3 linked regions of the Arabidopsis thaliana genome follow. The protein of the gene in region 2 interacts with the protein of the main gene of each other region in a pairwise test. Each region holds a gene or a part of one and is shown on either strand. Other genes may lie near its edges. The genes, in order: Y14, AT5G59950 and MAGO.

What was found.
Region 1: the proteins of AT5G59950 (region 2) and Y14 interact in a two-hybrid assay, tested with the Arabidopsis thaliana proteins (one study listed by BioGRID).
Region 3: the proteins of AT5G59950 (region 2) and MAGO interact in a two-hybrid assay, tested with the Arabidopsis thaliana proteins (one study listed by BioGRID).

What each region holds. Positions count from the first base shown.
Region 1 is NC_003070.9:19,100,249-19,108,563, forward strand, and holds Y14 (RNA-binding (RRM/RBD/RNP motifs) family protein), read right to left. Parts: upstream 4,686-8,315; 5' UTR 4,506-4,685; coding exon 4,235-4,505; intron 3,922-4,234; coding exon 3,785-3,921; intron 3,276-3,784; coding exon 3,121-3,275; intron 2,870-3,120; coding exon 2,824-2,869; 3' UTR 2,543-2,823; downstream 1-2,542. Other genes in the region: ABCG12 (ABC-2 type transporter family protein), read right to left, coding at 1-97, 181-260, 496-724; AT1G51520 (RNA-binding (RRM/RBD/RNP motifs) family protein), read left to right, coding at 6,541-7,256, 7,456-7,602, 7,725-7,904, 7,991-8,094, 8,188-8,267. UniProt on the Arabidopsis thaliana protein: Core component of the splicing-dependent multiprotein exon junction complex (EJC) deposited at splice junctions on mRNAs.
Region 2 is NC_003076.8:24,136,212-24,144,378, forward strand, and holds AT5G59950 (RNA-binding (RRM/RBD/RNP motifs) family protein), read left to right. Parts: upstream 1-3,727; 5' UTR 3,728-4,023; coding exon 4,024-4,194; exon of another isoform or gene 4,195-4,390; coding exon 4,391-4,534; intron 4,535-4,682; coding exon 4,683-4,751; intron 4,752-4,844; coding exon 4,845-5,023; intron 5,024-5,118; coding exon 5,119-5,293; 3' UTR 5,294-5,656; downstream 5,657-8,167. Other genes in the region: AT5G59930 (Cysteine/Histidine-rich C1 domain family protein), read left to right, coding at 1-285; AT5G59940 (Cysteine/Histidine-rich C1 domain family protein), read left to right, coding at 1,201-3,156; AT5G59960 (K-stimulated pyrophosphate-energized sodium pump protein), read right to left, coding at 6,141-6,305, 6,550-6,683, 6,770-6,833, 6,928-7,028, 7,103-7,157, 7,234-7,290, 7,627-7,672, 7,930-8,012 and 1 more. UniProt on the Arabidopsis thaliana protein: Export adapter involved in nuclear export of spliced and unspliced mRNA.
Region 3 is NC_003070.9:401,349-408,988, forward strand, and holds MAGO (mago nashi family protein), read right to left. Parts: upstream 3,109-7,640; 5' UTR 3,054-3,108; coding exon 2,838-3,053; intron 2,600-2,837; coding exon 2,423-2,599; intron 2,179-2,422; coding exon 2,119-2,178; 3' UTR 1,752-2,118; downstream 1-1,751. Other genes in the region: RA-5 (RAS 5), read right to left, coding at 1-22, 113-160, 247-319, 427-440; ALG12 (homolog of asparagine-linked glycosylation 12), read left to right, coding at 3,279-3,321, 3,409-3,494, 3,564-3,605, 3,717-3,762, 3,882-3,968, 4,082-4,137, 4,300-4,417, 4,545-4,603 and 12 more; AT1G02150 (Tetratricopeptide repeat (TPR)-like superfamily protein), read left to right, coding at 7,431-7,640. UniProt on the Arabidopsis thaliana protein: Core component of the splicing-dependent multiprotein exon junction complex (EJC) deposited at splice junctions on mRNAs.

The sequences.
Region 1 (8,315 bases), on a different chromosome or scaffold from region 2:
TGGTCAAATCACTTGATAGCCGTAGATGAGCTGAGTATGTTATTGTCTCCCTCACCGTTAGTGTTCCCATCAAAATGTCCTCTTGTGTTACATAAGCCTATTCATAGTAATAATTCCAATAAAAATTCTAAAATTCCCAAAAAAAAATCGAATTAAATTTTGATATTAGATTATACTTACGACGAGACCGTAGTCTAGTCTTGCCTTCTTTCCGTTCAATAGAAGATTACCGGTCATAATCACGTTTCTTGCGAGTCTACCTATATACATGGGATAATTCTGAACAATTATTTAAAATTATTTAAGATATGATTTATTTGTTTATCTTTTAACGAATAATGAGTGTGACTTAACAACTAGAATTAGCATAAGGTATAATAAGAATCCATAAATTAGATACGTAAATTATGTAGAACAAAATAATGAAATAGAACAAATATTTATGTACATAATCAAATAAATCTCACTCACACTAATACCAAAAAGAAAACGAACCTGCGAGAGAATCAAGAAGCGTGGACTTGCCGGATCCGGAAGGACCCATAATGGCCATAATCCGACCTGGTTCAGCATGACCGTTTAATCCATCGAGCAATCTTCGAGTCGGACCACCACTAAAGTTTGGTATAACCACCGTCAAATCTTCCCACGCCAAGTACGCCCCACGGCCAATCTCTGCCGGTGGCGGCGGACGTCGGCCATTGCTCGTACTCTCTAACTCCATTGTTTTTGTTTGATCTTGAAAAAGATCAAAACCTTACTTATTAGAGAGAGAGAGAGAAAGAGAGAGTTTTGTTTGTTCTTCGTCTAGGTTATTTTTATTATATTGGTTGGAGATGGAATTATAAAGATAGTGATTAATTTTTGTAGGCCTAAGGTTTTCTTTAGGTGAGACTTGAGAGCAACAATCAACAAACAACTAATTACATTTAATGGATGGCTTTAATATCATAACCATATATAGATACACGTCTATAGTATATAGTTTTTTTTATTTTCTTGCACATTAAATGTAAGAGAGTGAGAGTTGTGTGAATGAGGTCTAATATTTATACAATCGTCCATGTGTAGTAGTAACTAGTAAGCAACCACCTACTTATTGACATACTATTATACGTATGAAATATATTTTTTATGTCGGTTCTTGCCAACTAACAAGAAATTTCGTCCACACAGAAATCAAATGATATTTTTGTGAAATGAAATTTAACAGTGTGATTATTTACGATGAGATGTTTTCATTTAGTTCGAAATGAATAGAAACATCACAAATCAATTAAAGGATCCATATTTGGTTGTCTACTAATTCCAAGGGATTGATAGTGATACTTTGACAAATTTATCGTTTTGTTCACACATAGAATTATATAATTATCATTGTATTAGTTTTTGTAACTATAAGCAAGAGAAGTGATATTCGATAATTAATGAAGAAGATATATAAAATTAAGTTTGAAAAATCGTGTTTGGTTGAACATGTAAAATCAAGAGACTTGATAATTGATAAGTTTGAATGACATAAAGAGGTAGAGAACCCTCGCAACGAGTCTTCACAGGTGTTAAATGAAAAGGGAAAGGAATTAAATGTGTGGTAGTTGGAACCGATATAGTTTTTTTTTTGTATTATGCTTCATTATTTCTTTTTGGTCTATCCGTCCATTTATTATCTTCATGATTTTATGGTTATCTTTAGCTTTTTAGCTTTAGTATAGCGCTATGTCTAACCACATTTTTAAGCATTGTTTAGTATTTAACACAACCCTAAGTTATAGACTTCTTACTATTTATATCTAGTAGGTTTATTGGTTCTTTTTAAACGAGTAAACTGATACTAAACAAAAGTACCTAAGATTTCACAAAGTTTTGGTATAAAAAGAAAACAAAAAGAAACAAGATTTCCAGAAAAGAGATAGAAACCCAGATTCTAAATTCAACAGAATCTAAGGTATGGTCTTATAAGCCTTTGGCACCATCATTAACAAGAATACAAAACTGTTTTTTTTTTGTTGGAATCATGTAAAAGCATATCATTTTTTTTGTTGGTGACAACAAAAGCAGAACTTATATAACTGTTCCAACTGTTTCATATTTATACTTTTCAGCTGTAAGTTAGTATATGAGAGCCCTTAAAATAGATGGATACATAAACATAATGTGGGACTGGCTCAATGCACAAAGTATAGATGATTGATTCGTACAAATGAAATCATGCAACCTGTGAGTAGCAAGAAAGTACATGCTCTATCTCAAATCATCAAACCTTTGATGATTTCTTTTAACATATTTAGGATACGAATAGTTACGCCTATAAAAACAAACGATGTGAATATTGCCATTGATTGGAAAATTTCAGCCAAAATATTTAATAGTCATTTGATGATTTCTGTTAACATATTTAGGTTACCAATAGTTACGCCTAGAATAATAAACCAGTGTGAAATAATGCCATTGGTTGAAAATTCTTTGATTTTTTCTATATAATCATATTTGGTTTTCTAGTGTAATGGAAGGTCTTTGATTTTCAAATTCTGTCTGACCTAAATATGAATCAATAAGAGAATGAAAATTAAAACATTCTTCCTCATCCAATGTTTCTCTTCTTTTACCAATACAAAGCATTAAAACAGATCTCATGGTGTTTAAACGCAACAATCCCATGCAAATGCATAAAGAGATAAACCAATGCAAAAGCAGCCAAACCCTACAAAAACCCCAGAAAAAAATTTGTTCAACACTCAGCGTCTTGCATCAGTACCTTACAGATAAGAGAGGGAATCCCTAATACAGAGAGATATGGGGAGAACTCTCCACCAAATCATACAATCAGTAACGTCTTCTCGGACTTCTTGAACGTTGCGACCTCCCATACCTGTAAAACCCCAATGATCAATGGATGATGATTTAAAGAAAGGTATAACTACTTGACAAGTCACAAGTGATTTCGATTCATTAGCATAAAGACAGTAAAGTTTGGTAGGTGCTTAGTACAATATACTACCTTGTCAACTGTTAAAACTTCTAAGTCTATATCTTAATTGATACTTTTTGACACTCTTGACTTCATATCGGCACAAGATCAGACAAGTCGTAGCGGAACAGAAAAGAGATTAGGATACAAACCTCGAGTTCTTTCTCCTGTAAGATTCACCACCACTGGGACCGCTGCTGAAGGCCCAGTCAACGCTAACATTCTGTGTTAGAAGCTCAGCACCATTCATTGCTGAAATAGCGCTCTGTGCTTCTTCCTTCTTCTCATATTCTATCAAAGCATATCCCTTATCAAAAAAAACAAAAGCAAAGTGTTACTTCCACTTCCATGAGAACTCAAGCAAACTAAAGAAAAATAATATTTGATTCCTAAACTCGCATCTAGAAGACAGCTTATCTTATTCGACCCGTCATTTCTGACACTTTGAAGTAACTTAAACGAAGTGTCCTTAGGGAACAGCATTGCACTTTACAGAATATTACATCTCCCTCTTAAAAGCAATGTAACATTGCAAAGATAAATTTATCATTTTTGGCTCTCAATTTCAGATATTCAGTATTACATTGATTAACACAAAGCATGTCAAAGAGTAAAGTCAACATCTACGACAAAACAGTATTGCATTCATCTCTAAATTACATCATGACAACAATCCAACAAATCAAGCTTCACTATAACAAACCAAAAGGCAAAATGATATCAACATAACTAAGCAAAAAAATTAGCTTCACAATAACTAACCAAAAGGCATAATGACATCAAGAGCCACTAAGAAACAAAGGCAAAACTCCATACCTTGACATAACCACTACGGCGATCGAGATTGAGATTTAGATTCTTAATCTCCCCAAAATCACCAAAAGCATTGGTTATATCCTCCTCCTGTGTCTCCTCATGAACTCCAGAGACCAAGATAATCCATCCTTCAACGGCTACACATAAACACACACAACAAACAAATTCATCCAAAACAGTCCCAATTCTTCATTACCCTCAAAGAAACTATGTTCTATCTTCACAGACTCTAGAACCATTACATTTTTTATAATGGTTACAAACTAAATCTAAACCAATCTAATTTTTTTCAAAAAACTTCTAGGTCAAATTGAATCCCAAACACAAGGGGTTATGAGAAACCCTAGAACAAATTACTACCACAAATAAATCAACAACGCGAAGAATCAGTATGCCAACACTAAAACCTAACTAAAAACAGCGAAAGAGGAAGAGATTTAGTGAAATTACATCTCTGCGGACCAGGACGGCCATCTGAACCAAGTGATTCGAAATCGCGTGAGGAAAGACGACGCTGACGATCGGAATCTTTCTCCTCGCGAAACCCACGGCCTTTGGTCTTCTTTGCTGATTCGCCATTAGCTCCGGCAATAGCCGACTTAAGCCTCGGATGTCCCGCGCGTGGAGAAACATCAGCTCCGTCAATAGCTGTACCTTCTTCGTCCATAAGGTCATCCTCCTCTGGCTCGAAATCGACTGCTTCTGATTCTATGTTCGCCATGACTTCCGCCGCCGTAAGATTTCCGATAGATCTCTTCCCGTTTCGCCGACTGATTTTTTGTTTCCTTTGTTTTTGGGGACGGAGCTCTTTCTTCTATCAAGATATTTCTCTGCCAGTGTTGTTTATAGGAATATATTGGACCTTAAGTGGGCTTATTTTGGGCTTTTACGCTTGTATTTCTTTCTCACGCTAGTTTTTCCTTTTCCCTTTTAAACAGGCTTTGATTAAACTCCTCTCGTCAATGTTAGTGGGCTTATTTTGGGCTCTTACTTTTTTTATTTATTCTTTCACGCTTCAGAGTAAGCTAAGCCTTTGATTTTTTAGGTTTCTTACAAAACAGGCTTAAGCCTTTGATGAAAACTTCTCTTGTTAATGTTACATTATCTGAATTTCATATGTCGAGAGTGAATCATGGCATACCTTTTTAAGCATTCATGATGTCAAATTATTGTATCACTTCATAATTAGGATACTATCAATCATATTGTGGTATTTAACACTTTACAGTCGATACTGGTCCATCTCTTTGATGGTGATCATCATTGTTTTATCCGTTTGCATACAATCATTATAGTCGAATATTGCTTTCTAATTCCCACTCTAATCTCAAATAAATCTCGTCCAACATGTTCGACCAAATTCTAAGAAAGAAAACATAGAGAGATGCAAAGCATTTAAAGAAAACAAATCTTAGTTCGTCGCCAATAATTACTTACGTCATTTAGAGGAGGGGAGAGCATTAATTTGGAAAACATTTATTGTCTGGTTCTGTTGACTAAAGTAGTACAAAACTCTGGTCAATTTACGACAACTATTTAACAACACACGTGTCCTTAAAGAAGCTATATCGACCGTTGATATAATATCTAAAGATAATCTTAACGGGTAGGATTTGGAAATGAAGTAACCGAAGACCGTACACTCGTTACAGTGTTGAGGAAAAATTAATGTCATGCGCGAGTTTTGGTGTGACGGGGAAAAGAACAGCTGCCTGACAAAATTTTGTTTTATGGGATGGGATAGGGTAATTGTTGTCGATGAGCCCTATACTAAAAATAGTAGACTTCACAGTTCAAGTGACCGTTTGTCTTTAGCTGGCCCGGTCATGAGAGTTAAGGGCAAAAAATATTTTACGGGCAGGTCCTAATATTTATAGAGTATACTTTTTCTTTACGGGCAGGTCCTAAGATTTATATAATCTATACATCACAATGCTAGTTTTCACTTAGCTATGTTCAGGGATAAGCCTGGCCCTTATTCATTTGGTTTTGTTTTTTGATAGAGTTTTTGACCTCATTTTTCCCCTTTTACTTGCAGGTTGTAACGCCAAAGAGTTTGGGAGAAAAAAAAAATTAAATCCACCAAACAGTTGTAATTATCAATTTTGTTGGAACCAAGTGATTCCCATTACTATAGGTGAAGAAACTAAAATCTTTATTAGTATAGAGTATAGAAAGTGGCAGACCAAGAATTTCTTTTTTTTTTTGGGGTCAAATAATTTAGTTAACTAAAAAATTACTTTATATAAATTATTTTAACTAAATAATTTAATTATCTCCAATAATCTTTTACTGCAAATATAAATTGTTCTTCTAACAAATCAATCTAATAAACAAAAAAACAAAAACGAAAACAATGTATTGAAAAAGCTACTTTATCCATGAAAAAGGGAATACATAGTGTTGATACCTACTAAAATCTGTTACTACAATCTTTTTAAAATCTGTTAATGCTCTTAATTTGCCAAAATAATCAGGTCAATATATATGATTTCTTTCCATTCTAATCTCGCTCTTTACGAAACTTGAATATCCCTAAAAATCGATAACAGTTTCAAAGAACAATAAAAACAAAAAAGGTTCGATTTTTAAAAAAAATTGTTTTTTTTGCTAAATGCTTTTTACAAAGACAAAATCATACAAAATTCTAAAAGAAACATACATTTATGATTTAACGCAAACCCAAAAAGAGCCTTCACCTTTTTTCTCTTCGTCTTCTTCACCATCTTGTGGGGAAAAACAAAACTTCTCCGGCCATGGATCCTGGCGACCCAACTTCAATAATCTTTTCAAAGATCAGAACTTTCGAACTTGAGAACGCTTCCAGAGTCATTGACTATTTTCTCTTGCAAGACATGGAACAAAGAGATTTGATTCGAATTGCTTTTGGTCCTGACTCTCTCATACAGACTTTCTGTCAGAAAGCTAAAGTCGATTTAGGTTTTTCCTCGAACGGTTTCTCGAGACCCATCAATATCCATGGCCAGTCATTGTCCTCGTCTTCTCCCAGAAATGGGTTCTTAGAGTTCTCGAGAAACCCTAGTAACCCTTTGTCTTCTTCGTTAACTTTGAACACACTCAGAGATAATAAGCCTAACTTCAATTCTAGTCCTTTTCGTGAAAGTTCATCACTTTTTGCCTCTTCTTCCGGCGATGAGCAGCAGCAACAACAATTCAGTAACAACTTTCTGTTCACAAACGACGAGGACCCATTTGCCAATTCTCACAAGAGGAGTTTCTCTGCTAACGATGCTTGTTTTGAGTCAGAGGAACCATGGTTTGGAGGAGGAAATGGTTGTCATCAATTTCCACAAGGCGGTTTAGTTGATGGTTTTGGTTCCTCTGGTGTCTTTGGATCGCCGAGTGAGATGGATTACATGCTTGAGGGGATGATGAGGATGAAGTTAGCTCAGCAAAAGAGCATGGTTGCTGCTCAGTTTATGGCGGCTTGTGGCTCTCCAATGTTGCATAGGTAAGTTTGGGATTTTTTGTTTTCTTTCTCTGTGTATGTTCTGTTAGGAAAGACTTAAACTTTACACAACAAGAGTAGTAGCATTTTAGCTTGAGGCAAGTTTTTTTAGATGGTTTTGGTTTGTTCTCTTGGTTTTGTTGTATCAAGAAGTTTTGAGCTCTGAGGCTTGGTTTTCCTCATGGTGATTGTTTCTTTGCAGACACGGATCAGGACATTTTGGAGAAGAATGTGGTAACTATTTTAGTCAAGGAAGGCATGAAAGAGAGGATTCAGTCTCTAAACAGATTTACTTGACATTTCCATCTGAAAGCTCCTTCACTGATGAAGACGTCTCAACCTATTTCAGGTAAATCATGTGTTGTGATATAATCGGGTTATAGATGTAAGGAAGGACTCTGTTTGGTGTACATTTGGATTAGGGAGTCATGTTTCTTTGTTTTGACTGTCATGTTTTTTTTTAATGTGTAGAGATTTTGGACTTGTGGATGATGTGAGGATTCCATATCAGCAGCAAAGGATGTATGGGTTTGTAACTTTTGCTAAGGCTGAAACTGTGAGAACCATATTAGCTCGTGGAAACCCTCATTTCATATGTGACTCACGTGTGCTCGTTAAACCATACAAGGAGAAAGGAAAAATCCTTCAAAAGTAATGCTTGGTCCTTGTTACTATTTATCATGTTTTTTTCTTTCTCTTGGGCGTTTTCTTATTATAGTTTGGTGAAACAATAGCAGGAGGCAGCAGCAACAACTACACGAGTTGTTGGAGAGAGGGAACTATTCACCTTCTTCAAGTCCGTCTGGAAAGGACTCGAGGGAACTATATGAATGTCGCTTAGGTTGGTTTCAATTTGTTAAAGAGACTTTAGAAAAACAATTTCTTGTTTCCTTCTTACTGAGATAGTAACTCTTCATTCTATATTCGTTACCAGGACCAAGGATGTTTTCAAAGAAGACACAGGAGATGTTGCGAAGAAAAACCGAGCAAGCTGATTTACAACATGCCATAGAAGTAGAACTCCAAAGATGAAGGTTCTTGAATCTGCAACTACCTGACATG
Region 2 (8,167 bases):
GAGTTGGATCCAAGTAAATGGTTCTATACATGCTTTGGTTGTGGAGGCACATTGCATGTGGAATGCGTACTAGGAGATTTCTCACGTCTCATGCCAGGATGCACCATTGACTACCGGGTATATACCGTGGAGGTGGTTTTCAATAATCACAACACGCGACCAATGTGCAGCCGGTGTCACTCTCGATGCAAGGTTTCTGTAATCCTTAAGTTTCGTGAGGGTAACATTGTATATTTTTTTTGTTCACGTTCATGTTTTCTGATGCATTTCTCATATTATCTGTGAGGCATTGCTACGATTTTTCATGTGAGAGGAAAAGGCTTTGATGTTTTATTCTAAATTGATGAGTGTATCTTTTACGGTGGTTTCTCAATTCTTCCCCTATTTAATCTTATGAAAATTATTGGTGTGATACATGCGAGAGAGAGTTAGATCCAATTAAATCGTTCTATACCAGTAAATCGATCGATACAGTTACTTTGGAGACTTATGTTATTGTTCCCGTTCATGTTTTGTGAAGTACTTTGCAATAAACCGGTGGATCTTTCTTGGTGGTTTCACACTTGAAAAAATATTCGCGGTGAACCTTTATTTACCGCTTTTATTCCAGTTAATTAGAATTTGTCACCTAATAAAAAAAATTAAATTTATTTAATTATAAAATCTTTTTTGACAGACGGATAAGACCATGTTTTACCTGATTTATGGGCGGGCGGATAAAACCATCACCGCCTGCCATTGAACATCTTATCTGTCATGACTATTCTCCATTCACTAGTCTTTTTGAAGAAGCGAGAGGAGGAGCCCCTTTTTGAACAACTACTTTTGACAATCAATAGAAATCCAAAAGCTAAATCGATTCATATCAAACAATATTGCTAAAATATAATATCGAACGCAACAATAACAACTACAGCATGTTGTGCAATGTAATATTTCTCGGAAATAGATAGTCAATGCTATCAAATCATGATTTATAAGTTTAGAATATATATCTAAAAAGTAAAAACATATTTCGGATCAAATTCGAATATTTTGATTTTGACTTTAAAATAAAAATATTACAATCCTGATCTGGAAACTCTGTATCATATTTGTTGGAAGTTGGATGGGATCAAAATTTCTCTAACCTCCACGTTCAGCTTCCATTTCTCCTAAAGAAAAAGAGAAAAGAAAGAATCTCATTCACATACATCATACATGGATACAGGAGCAGTAAAGCTACCCATTCACGAGCACCCTATATTTCCTTCGGCTCGGATCGTTTTTAGTACATGTAAAGGCTGCGGTGTAGAAGATTTCGTCTACGGCGGGTACGTCTGCAATGATTCTGACTGTAAAGCTCGGTTTCATAAGGAGTGCGCTGAGGCCCCATCTGAGATCAGCCACTCTTTCCACCAACAACATCCTCTCTTTCTCACCAATGGCCTGGGAGATCTTCCATGTGATTTGTGTGGACAAAAGCGATTGGAAGCCGCTGGTTATAGTTGTCCCACATGTGAGTTCAAGCTGGATTTGACTTGTGGGATAAACCCATCACCGCCTGCTATTGAACATCCTATCTGTCATGACCATCCACTTGTCTTTTTGAAGAAACGAGAGGAGAAGGCCCCTTGTGAAGTTTGCAAGGATTCTATTGGTGGACCTTCCTATTCTTGTCTTGGATGCGATCTGTACTTCCACGTGGATTGCGTCCATCTCTCAAAAGAGGTAAATCATCCTTGCCACCCTAGTCATCCTCTCAAGCTCATCGCATCTGAATCACTTACGGATAATGCTGAGAAGATTTGTCTTTTATGTGAACAACAACCAGAAAATATGCTTTATTATTGTTCTGTTTGCAACTTCACATCATGCCTTGGTTGTACTAAACGCCCACCACCTCTTTTTATCGAGCATACCAAGACCCACAAGCATCAACTTACTCTCTTTCTAAACGGAATTTCATATCAAGGTTCCGCGCTGACATATAACAGCAGAGCTTATATGTGCCTTCCTTGTGGTTTCGTTGTCAATGGGAATGGTATCAACCTACCTCAAGTCATAAACATCAACCGTCACGACCATCGTATCTCTTACACTCATCAGCTTGGCCCTGGATATTTGAACTGCGGAGTTTGCCGCGAAATTGTTGACAGGGATTGTGGGGCATATGCTTGTGTCGTTTGCAGTAACTATGCAGTTCACTGGGAATGCGCAGTACATGATAATGTATGGGATGGTGTGGAATTAGAAGGGACATCTGAGATCACAGAAGATATTGCACCATTCAAGGTAATGGGTGATAACTTGATAAGTCATTTTAGTCATGAACAACATACTCTAAGGCTGCACAAAGAAGGCATCATTCATGACGCGTACGCACTATGTGAAGCATGTACATATCCGATCGGATTTGATCCGATCTACAGTTGTGAGGAATGTCATTTCATTCTCCATGAAAAGTGTGCTAATCTTCCTATGAAGAAGAGACTCGTGTTTGCAACCACACCATTCAAATTAGTGGGAGCAAGTAGTCGTGTTCGTGATGTGATAGACTGTGGGTACTGTGGTGAATGTTCTACTGGTTTTAAGTACGCATCTCAAAGAGGGTGGGAGATAGATGTACATTGTGGTTCTCTTTCTGAGCCGTTCGTTCATAATGGCCATTTGCATCCACTATATTTTGATTCTAAGGAAAATCACTCTTGCAATGCATGCCATAAGGTAACGGTTCATATGCTTTGTTGCAATGCTTGTGACTTTGATTTGTGTTTAAGTTGCGCTAGTTTGCCATTAAAGATAAGGCATAGAAACGATGAGCACCCTCTCACTCTATCTTGTGGTGAAACGGCGAATGGAAAGTATTGGTGCGATATATGCGAGACAGAGTTAGATCCAAGTAAATGGTTCTATACAAGCTTTGATTGTGGAGTCACATTGCATGTGGAATGCGTACTAGGAGATTTCTCACGTCTCATGCCAGGACGCATGGTTGATACTGTTGGGGGAAAGAAATTTTATGTGGTTCTTAACAATCACAACACTCGACCATTATGCAGCATGTGTCGCTCTCGATGCAAGGTCTCCGTCATCTTAAAAGCTTGTGATGAAGACAATGTATACATATGTTCTCGTTCATGTTTTTCTGATATGGTTTCAGCTAGATCATGTTGATTGAGTGTTTAATTTGTTTAATTTTGTGTGGAAAGGATGAAACTTCGATACCCTTTATATTTTACAAGATGAGTGAATTATTCATGGTTGCATTCGCTAGCTGCCCTACAAGTCCAAATTCAATATCTGATTTTAATTTGAACTTCTTTACTTTGCTCGTCTTGCAACATAACTGAGTTGTGATTTAAATTCTAATAGATACTGTTAAGGGTTTCCATGTCTCTATATTTTATCTATATAAAGATATGCCTAAGAGTTTATAATTCCATCACTCATAAGATTAATGCAAGAAAATATCTTAGAGACTACAAGGTTCAAAGATATTTGTTTATTCTTAGTTATGTTTTCTAAGATTTCTCTAAATTTTGCCCGAATTCACAACACAGCTTTAATTATCATTATACTCTTCCAGTTTTATCTGTAAGAAACTAGAATGCAATCAGACTCATTGTTATGCGATAGCATGATCACTTATAGTTATGAAAATCATTGTTATACGGTAACATATTGAAAATATTGAATTGCTATACACCGAATGGCCAAGTATATATAACCAAGGTAAAAATATGTCAAAATAATGGCTTCGCCCGGGTTCGAACCGGAGACCTTCAGTGTGTTAGACTGACGTGATAACCAACTACACCACGAAACCTACATGCTTCTTTCTAACCTCAACAATATATATATACATATAGATAACTGTTTAATATTGTAACTTGTAACCAGTGTCGGCTAATTTCGACTTTTGTAGATCTTTTTCTGCTCTTTCTCTCTCTCTCTCTCTCTCTCTCTCTCTCTCTCTCTCTCTTGTATTATTTCTATCTCCCCCGCCGTCGAAAGAGAAACGTCGATCGGAGAACCTTTGAAATGTCGACTGGATTAGATATGTCTCTCGACGACATGATCGCCAAGAACCGTAAGTCTCGTGGTGGAGCCGGCCCCGCTCGTGGAACCGGATCCGGATCCGGACCGGGTCCGACTCGCCGCAACAACCCTAATCGGAAATCAACCCGATCTGCTCCATACCAATCAGCCAAGGTCCAAATCCGTTCTACATCTGTTCTTTCTTCTTCTTCTTCTTCTCTCTAGTTTCGCCGGATCTTTCTTCTCAGATCTGCCGATTCATAATGGAAAATAGACTCTGCGTTGACGTTTTCTTTAAAAAAGCTTTTGGTGTTGATCAATCTCTCAATACGTGGAAAATATCAAACAACGGATTCATTTGGTTGTATAGGCGCCGGAGTCCACCTGGGGTCACGACATGTTCTCCGATAGATCTGAAGATCACCGATCGGGACGTTCCTCCGCCGGAATCGAAACTGGAACCAAGCTCTACATTTCCAATTTGGATTACGGTGTCATGAACGAAGACATCAAGGTGCCTAAATTGTTCTTTACCCTAATTCTTTGTTAATCTGCATAGTTAGGGTTCCTGGAATCTAGCATCGTCTTACCTGAATAGATACCAAATATAATGGATTCGATCCTGCGAAGTAGTTAATATGAATATGTTTGTTAATATGCAGGAACTGTTTGCTGAAGTTGGAGAACTTAAACGCTACACAGTTCATTTTGATAGAAGTGGAAGATCAAAGGTACTTGTGAATTGTGATGATAGTTTTGTATGTCTCCTTCCTCTTATTGAGTCTTGATGACTGAAGTATTGTAAACTACTTTATTACCATTAGGGAACTGCTGAAGTAGTGTATTCTCGGCGTGGCGATGCACTCGCAGCTGTGAAGAAGTATAATGATGTTCAGCTGGATGGAAAACCCATGAAGATAGAGATTGTGGGCACTAATCTTCAAACTGCTGCAGCCCCGTCTGGTAGACCTGCGAATGGAAACTCCAATGGTGCTCCATGGAGGTGAGATTAAGCACTGCTCATTACTATGTGTTATATGTAAAAGCTTCTTCCATCTTGTGAGGTGTATTGAAAGTGTGTTTGTCTTACTGGGTTAGCAGAGGAGGACAAGGGAGAGGAGGTCAACAACGAGGTGGTGGACGAGGAGGCGGTGGCCGAGGTGGTGGTGGTCGTGGTAGGCGTCCTGGTAAGGGCCCTGCAGAGAAGATTTCTGCGGAAGATCTTGATGCGGATCTTGATAAGTACCATTCTGGAGATATGGAGACAAACTAAGGAACGTGACTGATCTTCTCAAACCGGTAGGGGTTTTAGGAGGAAGAGAATCGAGAAAATGTTTGCCAGAGGCTTTACCACTTAGCGCCTTTTTGGCTGTGTTGTTCATTTGTTTCATTAGAATGACTTTACAGAATTGAGAATATGTGTTATTTAAAGTTGTTGTCTATCTTAATACCCTCAAGTGAAAGGCAGAGGAAGGAATACCAATTTCGTTTACAGATCATATGCAGGCAAAAGAGTTTTCAGAAATCAGGTTTAGTTACTTGTATTGTGTCTCTTATCCAAGCCATGCCTTGTGGTATTATGAGCGCAGAATTTTGATTGAATATTGTTCATTTGCATTAAAGTATCAAACCATTTACGCAAAATTGTTCAATAGTGTTACTCCATGCATGAGAGGATTTTCAGAATCTATCGTTCCAGTTCTGTATATTGTGCGAGTCTCAACTTTTTAAGTTTCTCTCTCTATTTCTAAGCATGTCGAATTAGTAATATACACAACGTTGGATGATATCATGGTCCATGAATGGTGAAAAGTTTAAGGGTTCTTAGTTCTTACAGATCCAATACAACTAAAACAGAAGGCCGAAATGGTTTATCTTCTACACAAGAAGGGTTTCTGGACACAATACACGTCCTCTATAGCAAAATAACAATTTTACCAATGACAACAAAACAAGTCAAAAGCTTATCCATGGGATCTTTCACAAAACGGAGTTTATCTTCTCTGTAGACAGTAATACAGGTGAAGGTAAGGTTCACTGGTTTGCCTCTTTGACCAAAACCACATTATATACACAAGGATTGGATTCCTGCTGTAAGCTTCATCAAAAGTAAAAGCTATTCAGCTCTGCCTTGGCTTTTCTCGCCGTGAAAAGATGAGCCTTACGATAGAATAGAGTACCGCCTTAATGCAAGAAACCACAAAGTTCCAGCATGAGGATGGCCAGTACCACGGATATAGCAGCCTGAAAAATAGACTAATGAGATGCCTCGGGTAACGCCCAACCTGCAAGACAAGAGCATCACAATGTTACAAGCCAAGCCTATCCATAATGTGATCTATATGCAAGTGTTAAAGACATCAAACGAGCGAACTTGAGCCTGTTTTGCTGAACTTTGGGAGCTTTCAGATTTTTAGGTGATTGCCTAAAACTCTTAGATGATGTTTTTGAAACCCATACACACTTACACTGGATCTTGCAATCAAAACAATGGGCCTAAACCTGAACTTTTTACAAGGTAATACTCACAGGAAAGAGGGAATCCAAAGCATCCCAGGCTGCATGACGGACGGCTCTTGTCGGGTACATTGGACCTCCAGGAGAGGTAAAACTGTATAAACACGCCTTTAACCTTGTGCTAGTAGTCATTCTCAGTTCCATACCTGCAGATGAAATCAAACATTTCTTATAACTTTGATTCCATGTTAGATGCAGAATCTAGACAAGTTCCTAAAGGAGAGAAATGTACCTTGAAGAATCTTCATCTGAGAAAGATAATGTAGCAGCACTGGTTCCACCTTCAGTTTTTGCAGCTGCCGCAATAAAATAAGAAATATTAGATGAGTGATGTGTGTGATACAATTTTGAGAGAAATTGAAGATAGTCATAAAGCTTTTGCTTCTATACCTGATCAGTTAGTTCGATAACAAGGAAATCTCCAGGTCCTCCAATCAAGAAAGCATTTGGAAACTCTGGGAAGTTCCTCAAGAAGCTATCGAGTTTATCCACTGGACAACAATTTGTCAGTGAAAGAAGAAACGCTTTGGTTCCAATGATAACTTTTCAGAGAAAAATGTCTTACCTGAATTGTAAAAGAAAATGAACCTAGAGAGTAAGAGATACAGTTCCCTCTGAGCCTGAAAATAGGTATATGGGAAAGTCAATCTCCAGGTTCTCCATCAGTTGAACCATCATGAGAATGAAGAAACTCACCTGAATGGGAATTTTTTTCAATCGTATCTGCTCCAAAGCAACTTCCTCAAGGAGATACTAAGAGAACAAAGAGATGTTAGTTACAGTGGCAAAATTGCATGGCGATTTGAGCGTACAGTAACAACCCGATTTGACAAGTACAAAGCAATATTTATTGCCTAGAAGATGTATAAGAGGCATTAAACAAAGTAACATCTTAGAAAGAGGATGTGATGATCTCTAGCATGTGTGGTTTACATGGTCTAGCTGGAAGGCCAGTAATTGGGTTTTTGTTGAGAACATAGTCTTCCTTAATACATCAAAGTCACTTGATTGATAACTAAAGTTCCCTATATACGTACATTATCCAACAAAGAAGATGAAAATACGATATATCTGAGGAAAATAAGATACCCGAAAGAGACTTTGGAAGCGCCTCGTATTTGTCTGGATGTCTATCCTGTAATTAATATGAGTAGAAATTATCACCTGTTACCCCTCATAATGCTTGGCAATGCAATATTAAGTAGCCAGAGACTCTAAAAAACTATTATACCATTTCTTAACAAACTATAAAATCATTAGTTAAAATATGCCAATGCCACTACTACAGATCCAAACCACACAATTAAGCCTAGTGAGGTATACACACTGAACCAAGCGAGTCAACAAGAGTGAAGATGCTAATTTGCTATGCCAAAGTTCATAAATTTTTACCAGAACACATTTGTTGCTCCCTGCACCAGAGCCGAAGAATATCGCAGGAGTATTTCTTGATTGTCAAGCTCAACCTCAAACAGCTGAGAAGAATATAGAAGAAACACATTAAACATTATTGACTCAGTCGACAAACTAATGGACTGAAGACAATGCAAAGAACCTTGGGGATTGAAAATAACACTAAAGCAAAATCGTAAGATTTGCAATACCCATTTATGGAACAGTAGAGAGAATA
Region 3 (7,640 bases), on a different chromosome or scaffold from region 2:
CTTGTTCCACAGTCCTAATTTTCTGAACAAGAGATATATAAGAAAAAAAAAAAGGTCAGATCAAAGCATCGTCATCAGTAGCAAGAAGAAAAAAAAGAAAACATCAACTTACAAAATCGACTCCAATAGTGCTAATGTAACTTTCTACATAAGAATCATCCTGCAGCAGAACAACAAACATGAACAAATGTAGAAAGCTACAGTGTTTGATCTCTGAGAAAGAAAAAGACAAAAAAAAAAACTTACAGAGAATCTCAAAAGAAGACAAGACTTGCCTACGCCAGAATCCCCGATAAGCAGGAGCTTGAAAAGATAGTCGCTGCAAATCCCAAAACGCTAATTAAACCCTAGGAACCACCCGGAGAATCAAATATATAACAGAGGTAATTTCGACCCAAGTATGTGTCGATGGAGAAAGGAACTTACTACTCAGGATTCATGGTTTTCGATCTGTGGGAGGAAGAGCAGCGAGCGATACAGAGCCAGAGATCTCTCTCTCTCTTTTCTGATTTTCTCTCGCGATTTACAAGAGGAGGAGATTCAGTGTTTGGGCCTTGAATAATAATATGAGCGAAGGCCCAATAATGCAAAAGATTAAAATTCATTCTTCTTTCACAAGTTTAGGGTTCCTACGATCCACTCAGCAACGAAAATGGATCAAGCCCGACAGAGTCCAGAGGAGCGGAGGCCCAATAACGCCAAGATTAAAATTCATTCTTCTTTCACAAGTTTAGGGTTGTAAATTGGCCCTTCCTACGATCCACTCAGCAATTGGAGATTGTTTTGTGGTTCCCAGATGTTGGATCTATACTAGTCTTCTTGATTCATTTTTCCAATTGTTGCTTGCTTTTTGATTGACATCTATATTTTAAGTTGGGAGATATACTCTAACTCTTTCTGGAGGAGGAGGTTAAAACAAGGTAAGGCTTGGACTCGGGTCCCATCTTCCAGTAGAAGCTCTCTCTCCAGTTGATGCCTTGTCGATTTCAGCACCGTCTGCCAAACAAACACAAATTTACTTACACTCAGTCTCTGAAGACTGAGTTGATCTCTTAAAGTCAAAGCTATATGGAGGAGAAAGGCTACGTTAAAATCCATGTAAAAAAAAAAAAAAAAAAATCCATGTAGGAATCCCGCATTGTGAGCCACTTATCATCCATCACCTTGAACGCAATGCAATATCGAATATCAAATGCGGACTCGTTTTCTAACAATAAATTATACACCATCCAATTGTCAATATATATGGCTTCGCGTTTATCTCTCTTAACCCAAAGCTGCTGTAACTAACTAACTAACCAGCTACTAATGTTTCCCCGACCATCTTAAAAGGTAACTAACTAACTAGCTGATGCTAGTTGGTGCCTGAGCAGGGGTGAGATCAAAGGAATAACGAGAGTGGTGATCCCTTTTCTGTGCACAAACACAAGCCAGTCCCCGCCCTAACCATGCACCTGATCCTGCCACAAGATGAAATATGCATGTGACTCTCTGCAACACACTACAACAAGGTAAAGGAGACTAGTGCGTGCTTAACCTGAGGATGAATGGCAGGTGCGTCCTCTGTCTAGGCTGTGAGTAATCCGCCTGACACTGACAAATGAATCCTCCATTGTTCTTCCCGATTCATAAAAAGCTACTCTTGATATCTTCAATGCAAAACCAGATTTACGGGTTTTGGAGGAGCAGTTTGAATGGTCCGAGGGCGTTTTTTTAGAATGGAAACAATCCTAATTATCGACTAATCCAGCTAGTTTTTGATACTTTGTATTTTAGATAGATCACATTCCTTAGTTTAAATTGGCTTGAGGGAAAAGAAACATGCATCATATGTAGATGTACATTAGGGAGAGTGAATGATTTGTGATAAGAAAACAGCAAGTATATGGTTTTTAGAAGATAGGTTGTGGTTCATGAAAGGTTCTTCACATGGGATGTTGACACAAAAAAGGACCAAAAGTTGAGGTAGAACATCTTACATACCCACTTTCACCCAAATCCAACAAAAAAAAAAAACAGAGAACCAGAGACATAAAAACAACCAAACTTCAGTCACAAAGTCCTCATGTTCCCAACAAATTCATCGCGTCTTGACATGTCACAAACTGATTTTCTTCTCTAGATAGGCTTGATTTTGAAGTGCAGAGAGATGAGCGAAAAAACAAGACATTTCAAGTCCTGCAACCATGAAAGTTTCAAAAGGAATATGTTAGAGCACAAATAAATACAGAAACTAAAAAAAAAAAAACTACAGAACCATGTAAGGGATGAGTGTTAACAGCCAAACCCTAAATGTTAAAGTTTGAGACAGTGAATACGTTAAAAGGCAGAGTCCTAAATATATAATCGAGTCCAATAGAGTTAAGGGATTAGGTAAAAGAAAAGATGGTAAGGCAAGGGGTGGAAGAAAAAGAGAGGAGACCTGAACAAGATAGTAGAAGATGCGAAGTCCTTCAGGATCATTACTGCTCTGGCAATCAACAAGAGATCCAATCTTAGATGTAGCGAATGAGATATGCTCATTACCCAAGACGATCTCGAGCTCTTGCTTTCCAACACGGTCAGGTTCCGGCCAATTGTTATCGTCTTCTTTCAGAATCTACCCGCAGACAAATAATCACATGTCAGGTTGTACAAAATCATCCATTATTCCTAGATAATAGCATTAACAACGAAGAGGGTTCTAAACCTACAACACTAGTCAGGAAAGATGCCCTAGATCGACAAAAATCGAAGCAAAATCACTAAAACCCTAATTGGCTATTATAGCGTCGATTGACCAAAACGCGGACAATTAACAAGAGAGAAGCAAATCGGAAGAGAGAGAGAAAAAGGACCTCGCTCTCGGAGACGATACGCTTGCATTCCTTGAGCACGGCGGGGGTGAGAAATACCTCCTTGCGGATAATAGTATCGTTCTTGTAGTTAGAGTTATTGGCGTAACGGAGCTTACCGTCCTCTCTAAACTCGAACTCCAGGAACTCGTGTCCAAATTTCCCTTTGTGACCGACATAGTATCTCAGGTAGAACTCCGTCGCTTCTTCCGCGGCCATGCCTTCTCTTTTTTTCTTTCTTTCTCGAGATCGAGATTACCTCTCCGTGTCCTTTGCCCTTCTTTAAGTCCGTCCCCGCAAAAGAAAAAAGGTAATGGGCTTACATATTGGGCCAGAACCCATTTGTAACCCGAAAAGTTAAGGCCCAGTTTTAGTTTTTCTGTTTCCATCGAAATTGTGTGTGTATCCGGGCTGCCTGATTTCCGATTCCCCGATACAGAGACGATGCCGACGGATTCGAAAATGGCCAAGTTTCTTCAATCCTATGGTAATTTCTTCGTTTCGTCTTCTTAGGCGGCCAGATGATCTCTTTTTCTTTTTTTATATAACTGAAACTTTCGATTGGTGGGAGCAGGATATGATTTGATTCTGGGATCTGTAGCTGCAATCTATGTGGTCATGGCACCATATACTAAGGTGGAAGAGAGCTTCAACGTTCAGGTAGGTTTTCAAAGTATTTAGAGTCACACTCTTTCTCCGTTTTACTGAAACCGTTTCACTCGTCTCAAGTCAATGCACGACATTCTTTACCATCGCCATCATTTGGACTCTGTGAGTGACCTCTCTTTTTACTTCTTCTCTGAAGCTTTACTCTTTTTTTTTTTATCTCTAGAGTGATGTCAATTTTTACCGACTTCTGTCTTTTTATTTTTTTCCTATCAGTATGATCATTTGGAGTTCCCCGGTGTTGTCCCTCGAACTTTTATTGGTAAGGAGGGCTGTTGAATTTCGCTCTCTGTTTTTGCATCACCTGTTGATGGTTTTTTTTTTATCATTATACATTAGTGGATGGTTTTTTTTTTATTCCACTCTGATTTGTTCTTGCAGGAGCCTTCATAGTCTCTGTTTTTGCATCACCTGTTGTATCAATTATCAGCTGCCTTGGCTTCCCCAAGGTTTATAGCCTTGTTGCAGGTTTCTCTTCTGTTTCTCCCTCCCTATATAATTCCTTAATGAATCGCTAACTATTTTCCCCTAAACACAGACAAAACCAATTCACATCATAGTTTTATCATTTTGTCTTGCAGCTCGTTTGGTGTTGGGCTGCATCATATTGTCCACACTAAGATTTTTCCGGATTCAGGTATGAAGTTCCTTTAGTGCTTCTTTCCATACCACACTTCTGACTCCCCTATCTGATTCTTTGTCCCTTCCCATGTCCTTGGAATTGGGATCTCTTACATGCATCTTGTTGGCTGTTTTTCTCCTATATACTGCCACTGACCAAAATCTACTGGTTTGTCAGATAAAAAAAAAGTTTGGAAATCAAGTGGAAACTTTCTTTGTACTTTTCACCAGTCTTCAGTTTCATTTTCTTTTCTACTGCACTCGTCCTCTTCCTAATATTCTAGCTTTGGGATTAGGTAATTACTTCTATTCATCTTACTCTACTAGTAGTGGTCCTTCAGATGTCCTAGCAATCTTTCCCATGACCCATCTAGCGTAGGCCTTACTAGGTTCTGCTTATGTTTTTAAATTTTGATTTTGCAGTCAATCTGGCATATGGTAATTGGTTAAAGGGAAATTTTTATCCAGCTTTGAGTTTCCTGGTATGTATTATCTTTGTGGTGACATATTTTCTCGATTATAGATTTAGAAAATCGGTCATGCTATCCAGAACTATGGGGTTTGCTGACATCTCTGTTATCCGATAATCAGATTTTTGCCACTGTAATCTTCAGATGCGATACGATGTTACTGCTTGGGCCTATTGGTCTTGAACTTTTATTGGTGAGCTGGTGACGAATATTAAATAGTTTGGGTTCTCAACTTCTGTATATGTATAATTGGCCGTATACTTTACCGTTCCATCTGATGCGGGTGCTTTATGTTTGTCAATGACAGACCAAATCGATCTCCTTCTGGAAAGCACTTAAGTATTGTGTTGGAACCGCTCTGTTGGCCGTAGGTTGGTTAAAATTCCTCTTCTTTCTGTGATCTATTTTGCTTTTTCCCTTCAGACACTAATTCCCGAGTCTATTTTCTGTGGTCATGGAATAATCCTTAGCACAGGTCTTACCATTTTCGTTGACTCTATCATGTGGAAGAAGTTTGTCTGGCCAGAATTTGAAGTTTTCTGGTTTAACTCCATTCTAAACCGGAGTTCTGATTGGGGTGTATCCTTCAAAAAAATTGTTTCCTCAATTGATTTATTTTTCATATGATGCATAATGTTCTAGCATTTTTCTACTGCCTGATTAAAGGATTGCGTTCTGTACAATGATAACCGTTTGGAATTTCCAATTCAAAGTTTAATATTGTGGCACTTGCATTTGTATGAAATGATGTGTTGTCCTTGAAAATTAGTTGCTAAACTAGACACATTCCATACATTGGTACTTCACCTCAGCACTCCCACGGTCTTTACTTGTAGCTTATCCACTTTCATTGGTAAATACCAGACTTCCTAACATCTGTGATAGTGTTTGTCTTGTTCCTTTCTAGTTAGGATCGCTAATTGTATCTCTACAAATTTTCTTATTTGGTTTCTTTTTATGCAGCTTGGTACTTTAGTTGACAGAAGGGTTCCATTCTTTATAGTTCCAGTTTTATCGTTCGTTATACTATACTCTAAACTTCCACACAAGGTATTCAGATGGATTACTTATCTCAGTAGCCATCAACGTTTCTTAACCATTTTCTGACATCGGCTTACCTATCTTTCTTGATTTATGAAGGAACTCCGATTTATCATTAGTTCAGTGCCAATGTTCAACTTGTCTGCTGCAGTTGCTGCTAGCAGAATGTATGAGTTCTATCAGATGTTTGCTAGCTAAGCTTTCAATCATAGCTAGGACGTTCTTTGATTCTGTATCTTAAGAGCTCTTTGGAGTTTGGATACACATAATTTCTGTATGCCACTTTAAATTACTACCAATGCGGGCCGACCTCTTAATATAATCCGATTTTGTTGTACAGCTACAATAATAGGAAGAAAACGATTTGGAAACTGGTGAATATGGTTATGCTAGCGTTTTTTGCAATCAGGTAGAAATAGTAAACAATTATCTTTGCTATGTAAGAGAAGGAAAGAGATTTGCTAGTCTACTAAACCTGGTTCTATAGTGCAGGGTGCACGGTTGTAACATTCATGGCATCTTACTACAATTATCCTAGCGGCTATGCTTTAAAGCGCTTGCATCAGATTGGTGAGTGACTTATTCTGTTATTGGGGTTTGTTATTAATGCAGCAGCATTGACTTGGCTATCAAACAAGAAACATCTGCTGGTCAGCGTTTGTTTTGTGGTGTCTATCTACCTCTGGTTGATAATTTGCCTACAATATGATTAATTGACTTGGTGCCTTCCATGGTTCTCAGGCCATCCTGCAAATGTAGCTGGGGAAGAGTGGGTTCACATAGACACTTTTGGTGCGATGAATGGAATATCTCGCTTTTGTGAAGATGATTTTCCGTGGAGGTATGTTAGCTGTACTACCTCGTTTTAGGGTTGGTAAAAGTAAAGGAAATATCAATGTACATGGAAAAAAGTTGCCACTCGGAAGCACCCATTTGTGCGAGATGAGGCATCTGTTTGTTTTTCATGTTCATTTTCTTGGATACGAATATCACTTTGTTGGAAAAGGGATCATTCTACATTGCCTTTGAATACATAGAAGAGGTATCTGTTTATCTATTTAGGAGGATATAAAATTTTGTTGTGCAATGCAGATATTCCAAAGAAGAAGAGATAGTAGTGGAGGAGTTGCGAAACCGAAATTTCACGTACCTGGTGAAGTGAGTATTTCATCATATAGTAGAAAGCAATTCATAGTAAATAAAAAAAGATACCACTGGTGGTCAACATGTAACACTGTTGTCATGCTTGGTGCAGCGAGCATTCCTCTGTAGATGGATACAAGTGCTTATTTTATGAAGAAGGCTTTGAGAGACTTGAGCTGCGGCGAGGTTTCCCTCCCATTGTCTTGGTAAATCGGTGGGCGTGGGGCTAGTATTTCATCAAAATAGGTGCATGGAATGTAATGTAATGTAATGTTGAATTGCAGGTAAAAAAAGCCAAAGTATACTTGCACCGGGAGATGAAGAAGGAAGATCCTTTTCATAAGAAATGGCCTGGATGTTAGGTAATCCTACAAATAGAGACAATGTTTTGGGTCGATGTAATGTAGCATTCCTCAGAGAGGACATGATGTAATGTAACAACGGAGATGCTTGTTACTGACTTACTGTAATGGATTCAACAAATTCATCCAGAAGCATCATCGGCCTTTGGGCTTTGAGTTACGCGTCACAATTGAATCAATTGGTCCTTTTAATTAGTTTTACCAATATACCCCTCCGTCTTTTCCCCCTTCTCGTTTAGGAAAAAAAATCATTAGCTTCGACTTATCCGAAACCTAACGAGTAACGACGAGAGATGCTTCTTCAGGCGGCGGTGCAGAACCGCAATGTTCCACTGGCTTCTTCCGCCTCCTACTCTCGTCTCCTTCGCTGCAGATCTCCTGTCGTCTCCGTAGCTGCTCTCTCGAAGAAGACGGCAGCAATCGTGTGCTCCATCTCCCAGGTTTATGGCTACGGCACGGTGGACTACGAGAGAAGGCCGATTGTCCAGTGGAATGCCATCTAC